2 linked regions of the Daphnia pulex genome follow. The protein of the gene in region 1 purifies or fractionates together with the protein of each later gene. This does not show direct contact. Links are inferred from orthologs where the notes say so. Each region holds a gene or a part of one and is shown on either strand. Other genes may lie near its edges. The genes, in order: oxysterol-binding protein-related protein 8-like and Golgi apparatus protein 1-like.

What was found.
Region 2: the proteins of oxysterol-binding protein-related protein 8-like (region 1) and Golgi apparatus protein 1-like purify together in Homo sapiens (co-immunoprecipitation; 3 studies listed by BioGRID and IntAct, with this or other methods). This does not show direct contact. The link is inferred for Daphnia pulex from reciprocal best matches to the Homo sapiens genes OSBPL8 and GLG1.

What each region holds. Positions count from the first base shown.
Region 1 is NC_060024.1:3,680,501-3,685,123, forward strand, and holds the end of oxysterol-binding protein-related protein 8-like, read right to left. Parts: coding exon 4,444-4,623; intron 4,371-4,443; coding exon 4,285-4,370; intron 4,212-4,284; coding exon 4,073-4,211; intron 3,989-4,072; coding exon 3,722-3,988; intron 3,295-3,721; coding exon 3,065-3,294; intron 2,983-3,064; coding exon 2,804-2,982; intron 2,745-2,803; coding exon 2,470-2,744; intron 2,398-2,469; coding exon 2,201-2,397; intron 2,129-2,200; coding exon 1,859-2,128; intron 1,788-1,858; coding exon 1,303-1,787; intron 1,241-1,302; coding exon 1,024-1,240; 3' UTR 130-1,023; downstream 1-129. UniProt on the Homo sapiens protein: Lipid transporter involved in lipid countertransport between the endoplasmic reticulum and the plasma membrane: specifically exchanges phosphatidylserine with phosphatidylinositol 4-phosphate (PI4P), delivering phosphatidylserine to the plasma membrane in exchange for PI4P, which is degraded by the SAC1/SACM1L phosphatase in the endoplasmic reticulum.
Region 2 is NC_060026.1:12,906,085-12,909,140, forward strand, and holds part of Golgi apparatus protein 1-like, read right to left. Parts: coding exon 3,012-3,056; intron 2,933-3,011; coding exon 2,727-2,932; intron 2,657-2,726; coding exon 2,233-2,656; intron 2,169-2,232; coding exon 2,028-2,168; intron 1,963-2,027; coding exon 1,780-1,962; intron 1,711-1,779; coding exon 1,482-1,710; intron 1,421-1,481; coding exon 1,314-1,420; intron 1,242-1,313; coding exon 1,199-1,241; intron 631-1,198; exon of another isoform or gene 559-630; intron 359-558; exon of another isoform or gene 287-358; intron 1-286. UniProt on the Homo sapiens protein: Binds fibroblast growth factor and E-selectin (cell-adhesion lectin on endothelial cells mediating the binding of neutrophils).

The sequences.
Region 1 (4,623 bases):
GGAAGGCTGGTGGTTCGAGCCCACCCGGGGGCGGTTCATTTTTCAACTTTTTTTCATAATTATTAAAGTATCAGAATTAACTCGTCAACTACAAGAGTACGAAAAAATAATGGACATTAAATCCGAAAATTTAAGAGGGGGACACGTTGACGTGTATTGAGAAGATATCGCTTTATAATTGAAGAAAAAGGAGACAATTGACGCAGATCTTGCCACACAATTGTGTAACACAGTATATCATTGGGAAATGGACAATTTCGCATTGACGGAGGCGAACGAGTAAAAATCGGCACGATGGATGAGAAGACGAAAGGGAAATAGGAAAAAAGGTTTTATATTTTCGACTTGAAGAGAAAAGATGAGAGGGAGGAAAAATTCGAAGCGAAGTAGAGAGAGAGTGGCAAATAAGCAAAGTCGAAAGATATATAATCAATGGAAGAGGAGGAATGTCAAGACGGCACATCATATTCTCTCTCAAATGTCATGGCACTTGATCTCTTTTCTATATAACTATCCCTTCGGCTGCGAGTCCCTGTTTGGTTGTGTGTTTCCGCCCATTTTTAAAAAAATCCCTGTTGCATCACAAACACACACACACACACAAGTCTCCCATGCCATGAGGTCATACTAAATAAATGTCTCATAAATATCTGGATAAATAGAACATGGAAGGAATGCTTTTGCTCCAGTAGTTCACATCACTATCAAACAAAACAGAAAAATTATTATTAATTGTTTTCTTTCTTTTTTCTTTTTTTAGTGTGGAGGGGTATGTAGAACGCATTTCGGGGTGAGTGGGTGGAGGACAAGGGGGGACCGACTAGCACTCGTTACTTCACCATTACTATTACCTCATATTTTTGTTTGTTTCGTACTAGCAAAGAGACGACTCATTTGTTTTTTTCCCGCTTGCCGGCACAGAGATTTCTTAACATACGGGTGAGGTTATGGCGTTGTTGCAAACACAAAATGTTTCGAAACTTGAAGGTAAAGGGAGGAGTAGGGTTGGTGGGTGGGTGGGGATCATTTCTTCCAGTACAACCAGAGAACCACCTGGCAGAGGACCAGCACTAGAACGACCAGGTAAAGGTCACGCGACGACGAGCCGCGCATCATCTTCTTTGGACCCAACGTCTGGTGCTGTTGCAACACCATCGACTGAATGCTCGTCTGGATCCGGGTCAATCGATCCTGCGTTTCCCGGTGCGACTCTTCCAGGTACTGCAGCACGTGGTTCCAGCTGAATAGAATAAAGAAATTAAATAGAAATTGACTTTTAATTAATTTTGAATTTTTATATACCTGGTTAAACCACTCCGCAATTGACGTTTATCCGCTTTCAAGCGACTGTCTTCTTCCGAGCTATGCAATAGATCGCCTTCGGCGGAGGAACTGATGCTTCCGTCGGCATTCCTCCGCCGGATGACACTCGCCCCGTTGACGTTGGCTTCGCTCAACGGCTTCCGGAATTCGGGCCCATTGGGCGACGACAGGACTAACTGTTGCCGGATCGATTCCGTTTGTCTCTCGACGCTGACTATGCTGGCCTCGCGAATCATGGGAGTTCGGTGCCGAGTTTTGGTGGCGATGACGAAATTACTCTCGTACTGGATAACGTCGTTGCGCTGATCCCAGGGGCGGACGTCGGCGTGACGGTAATGCCACGAATCCGTCACTGGGTCCAGCTCGAAGCAGCGAGGCATCCACGTCTCGTTCTGAGATATGCGCAATTTGGTGGCGTTCCTTTGAGCCTCTTCCAAAATCGTCTTCTCGTTCGTGGCCAATTCCTAATTTAATTGAATAACAATTTCAGCTTAAATTTATAAAAAAGATTCACATTTTTATTCAAATCAAAAACCTGATTTTCTTGACGAATGGCGGCTGCCACTTTGCTCCAGAGTTTGTCCGATTCGTAGCCGAGTTGCTCCTCGCTGGCCACCGTCCAGCGTTTGAGTCTGGTGGCCCTGACTTCGGACGTCGGATTCCACAGCGTTTGCTTCTCTCCCGTTCGCTTGTCTTCGATCGTGATGCAGTCGTCCCAATAGCCTGATATGGTGGCCAAAGTTTCTTTGCCCAGTCGAAGCTTGCCCGTCACGTAGTTCATAAAATCCGCTCCGCCAATCATCGGCTGTAAAAAAGACAATAAAATAATCAGATCGGGCAATCCCAGGGCCAATTAAAAATAAAGTTACAGCTTTACCTTGAGTTTAAACTCCAAATCGGCCCGGTAGCCCGTCTTTTCGCATTTCAGGTAGACTTCGCCGCCCATTTCCATGGTGAGTGTCCCGAGCAAAATCCCCTTACAATGAGCGTAAGGCATGGTGATGACGTAATCTTCACCGCGCGGCAATAAAGTTAGCCGAGCCGATCCATCCAGCAGAGCCGACAATGAATTTCCTGTTGTGAAAATTTTTAATTTAATTTAGGAGACGGGAAATAATTTTAATTTATTTTTGGCACGGGATCTACCGTAAAATTTGGATTTGGCCAGAATGGTGGCCGACAGAGTGAACCCGTCTTTACGGTTGGTGACGTAAAGGGCTGATATGGGAGGGTGATGGGACACTTGTTCGGCTATGTAGAACGTGGTGGAGCCGTTGGGATGCTTCCAACAACAGCGAAAGACCTCGCCCAGAATGGGATTGTAAGGTTTCTTGAGACCTTTTGGCTTTTTGTAGAAACCGGAAAGGTACCACTGAACCACTGTTTTCATCCGCGTGAAAGGATCGTCTTCCAAAACAGCTCTATTCACAAAATAAAACATGAAATAAACGATAAAAAATGGCGGGAGAAAATCTCTCACCTGGACAGGATATCGGCGTGGTAATAATAATCAGACAACTTGTCAAGAAATGAGCGCGGTTCCAGAATAAACGTTGGTAAGACCACTTTGGACAAATCCATTCCGGGGCGCACTTGCTTGACAAGAAACCAAATCAAACTTTTGTTATCATCGGCCAATTCTTCCGTCAACTCTCCAGTCTTTTTTTTTGTTATGCAAATGAATAAAAATTTATTTAAATAATTAAAAGAATATTCAGGAGATGGTCTACAAGGTATATACCGAGCCAAACTCTTCTTCTTGTTGGACAACGTACGGCGTCTCGACTGGGAAATCGTCGAGTGATCTCAATTCGTCTTCTTCCGATTCCGAATCGGAGTGATGGGAATCGCGTCGTATGCGCGGAAGACGAGGCCCAACGGTGGCGAAATCAGCCACATCCAGCCCGGAGCCGGAGCGTCGTTCAGCTTCGGTAATGTCGTTTTCATCCGTATGACTAGTATCGTCGAAATCTGCGGGCACGACAAACAAAAGACAAAAAGGGGAAGGAGAGAAGCTGTAATAATAGAGAGCATCTACACAACAAAGCGTACGAACGTCAAAAGCATACGACCAGAATCATTTTACCACTATTCTGTTTCACCAATTTCCTGGCTGAATGACGCGGAAATCGGTGCAAATAATTCATTTTGCGGAGTTGTGGAGAGTTGTTCACACTCGAGCCGGAGCAAGTGGATCGGGGACTCCTGGGAGTCGATTCGTTCGAGGAAAAGGAGGGCGAGATAATGGAAACCAAAGGCACTACTTTGAGGGTATCGTTAACGCGCTCTAGCTCTATTGTTTTCAACAGCAGGGCAGCAATCAACATTTTTGACAATTTTCATCATGACGGGATCGGTGGACGGACATTTTTAAAAAATAATAATAATTGAATTTTACCCTGGTCTTTGAAATGCTTTTCAAAATCCGAGTCGTTCCAGTGGAGATCGCCGCTCTGAGAGGCTGAAGCACCGGAAATGGGATGGCCAGACGCAAGGTCCGAAACGAGACCTTCGCCAATGTTGGTGCTTCGAGTGCTCATGGAACGGATTAAAAGCGATGAGCACTTCAAGGCTAATTCCAGCGCATCCATCCAACATTTGCCAGCTCCTTGAGAAGACACTCGGAAAATCAGGTGAGAGGTGGGCAGCGGTTGAATTGGAGCAGCTAAAATGGAGAGAGTTAAAATAATAATAATAATGATAAATGATTTCCACAGGATGTTGCAAAATATCAAACAAGTGAGCTTACGAATTGTTTCTCCCAAGGGCCCTTTCGGCGCCCATATCGATTGGTCCAATGGATGATAGAGTTTGAAGCAGAAACCGTCTTTTTTCGAAGGACGCTCAATCAATTTGCACATACTCAAGAGTATTGTGCCAACCCAGTCCTGTTATTGGTATCCAAACAAAAATAATTATGTAATCGGTCCAACACACATGAAATCAAATGTAATATTTTACCTTTGCCTTGTCACTTTTGTAAAGTAAGATGACACCTGGTTTCAGAATGCACCACAGTTTCGTCCAACTCTTGAGCATTCCTCTAACTAAAAACACAGATTTTAAGTTATTCAACGGTTTTTCAACACTTTCACATGAAATCTGGTGTAGTCTTTATACCTTTGAGCCAATCTGCCAAGACAACAACAGCTGGGTCTTTAAAGGAACACAACAGTTCATTGGCAGCCTTCTTCTTTTCGAACCTGTAGTTTTTCCTCTGCAGCTTGTACGATTCCTTTCTGGCCACCATAAACCCAGGTGCTGGTGGTACCGTTCCAGGACTACTAGAAGGTGCAGACT
Region 2 (3,056 bases), on another chromosome or scaffold:
TCTTTTTTCGTTAAATTTTGAATGAATAAACAAATTATAAGAAAATGAAAAACGTGTTCGAAGAAATCTCATTTTGCCGCTGTCTAAGCAGACGACTGAAGTCACCATAATAGTTATTTAGTTAATCAGAGCCATCTACTGATTGGAATAATAACATAACGCGGAAAATTTGATAAAACATGTTAAAATAATAAATAATCATTTGAAACACACATTTATTAATTGTCGATTGATTTTCTAAATAATTAAAAAACATTTCATCAGCAAAAAGGGACGAAAAAGCGGTTTCCCATACCGGGAATCGAACCCGAGCCTCTTGGGTGAAAGCCAAGTATCCTAGCCACTAGACCATATGGGATATATACAATTGTCAAAATAATGTTATATAATGTACAAGTGAGAAAAAATTTATTTTGTGCACATTTCGACATGCTAATAACGTTAAAATAGCCAAATATGAATGAAATAACATAATTAGGCAATGAACGCATTTAATACATCTTGTTCTTAAATTCACAAAGAAAATTATCAACTTATTGTGCTGGAAATAAAAAAGGTTTCCCATACCGGGAATTGAACCCGGGCCTCCCGGGTGAGAGCCGGGTATCCTAACCACTAGACAATATGGGATGTGAATAAACACGCTAGTTCTTAAATCCAGTGGCTAGAAATTTGTCTAAACTAATCAACAAAAGGCTAAAAATCTATCAGCGTCAAAACATTAACTAATCTTTTCCATTTTTTTATTTTCAAAATCTTATTGGACAAAGAAGGAGGAAAGCAAAAAAAAAAAAATTGTGCGTCTGTTTTTTTATTGCCCAATAAAATCAATGGGGTTGTAATTTAATTTGTCTGATTGAATTATTGAAAGTAGGCGAGTTCGTCAATTTAATTTGGATATACAGCGTAAACACTGATTGAAGGATTGAATTGATTTTCATCGTCTCTTTTTTTTTAGTATGAATTATTATTTCAAGGCACTCGCCCAAGTGTCCCTTCGCTTCTAGATATTTTCATTCTCTATTCTATCACGTATCACACAATTAACCACATCCAAGTTTCTGTTACAGTGCAAACTATCTGTTCTTCATAACTTGATGTCTCTTTGAAATACGACCGCAAAAGACCCCCAGCAAAAGAATTAATCCAACAAATGAGAGCCCCACCGCTAGGAAAACGTGTTTGGCGGGCGAATTACTCAGTTGTTCGACTAAATCGTTGACTGACTCCAGATGCATGACCTGTGAAATGTATAAATGTGTGTCAATTGATTTATGTCACGGATTAATTACTCGGTATGGTATAAGGCATACTTGTGAAGCCTTGGCGAATAATTGCGTCCTCGTAGTAAGCATATCAAAACATTTCGGATCAAATTTCGCTTGCCCTTGCTCTTTAAACCGCAAGAGACATTTCAATCCTATTTACAAGTCACATAATTTAACAACTTTTGCACTACAGATTTACAAAATTGGACATACTTCGACCCTCTCCAGGTGGAACATCTTTGCAAAATGTGACTAAATCGATAGCACAAGCTCGGTGTAGCAACGGATCGGCTTGAATGTCAATCTGGACAGCCGTTATAAGCAGAGCGATGTGGCGTCGACATTCGACATTAGTCAACGTGTCAAATTTTCTTTTCAAGCATTCTTCCACTTGACCTTGTCGGTTGTTTTCAAGCTCTTCAGGTCCACAGTGCACTTCAATCTTATTACAGCAGAAGCAAGTGTTGATGAAGATGATTTTCCCTTAACATGGTAGATGGACACAACATACCTCTTTATCGCAGACACTCACAAGAACAGGATCAAGCTGATAATGTAGAGCTTGTTGTTCCATTATGACCGTTAAATGGTCGGCACAGGACTGGGTCAGCGGCTTTTTAGAAACGAAGTTCTGTTTCAGGCAATCGACAACTTTCCCTTCAAGTTCGCGATCCTTAGGTGCACTCTGCCAAACCTATTCAAATTAACAGTATTATAGAAACAGGATCGATAGTATTACACACAAGAGTAATAAAATACCGCAAGACAAAATTTCGGTATGTCCATGGTGCATGCTTTCTTCAGAGCAGGATTGAAACGAATATCAAGATTCTGTTCAGCCATCCGTTCCAAAATCAATTCTTTGCAATGAAGTTCTAGAGTGGTGTCGTCCAGATGGCTCTAAGAAAGCAAATTAAAATGGTAGATACCCTTTAAAAAAATGTGAGGGAAAGGTCAAAACTACTTTTAAACATTCCAGAGCGCTGCTAGCATCGTTCTGGCATAATCGACGAATTGGTTCTTTGCATTGTTGAATGAGTTGGAAATCAACACCGCTGTCATCCATTTCTTCTTTTTCGACCTGGAAGATGGCTGCATGGCAAATATCATCCAGTTGTTTACGGTGGGTTTTGAGGCATTCCAAAATTCGGCCTTGTCCTGGTTTGATTTGGGCACAAAATCGCTTTTCATCGGATGCGCAAGGCTTGCGGACGTTAGGATTGAACTGGACATCTTCATGCTGTTGGAGCAGCTGGTTCCTAAGCTGTTGGCGGCAAGGTTGAGACACACGATGCTGGGATCCGACATGGTTTCCCAAGCGTGAAACTAAGCTCTGTGCCACCGAGTCGTTTCGAACCATCTCGCTCAGACAAGCTACTACCTTTGGTCTAGATAATTAGAAATGAATGAACACATGAAATAATTGGCAACAAAATCTTAAAATTGGTAATGACTTACTTTTCTTTAATGTTGGGACACAGACGAGAAATATCTTGTTTGCAAGCTCGTTTAAATGGGGCGCTGAAACGGAAGTCCTGTAATGCAATCAATTGGAAATGCTCGACAGCAGCTCGGCATTTGGAGTTCATGGTTGTTTCAGTGTTCATTTTATATTCAACAAGACATTCCATCACTTGACCTTCATCGCCATCATCCATTTCTTCCTAAAAATAATAATAAGAAAGCAAAATAATAATAACGAAACTTTTTTCACGAAATCAAAAATTCAACGCGGAAATTTACTTGGCAATGTGTTTCAAGGAAACGGCTGCAGTAAGCCGTGATAAA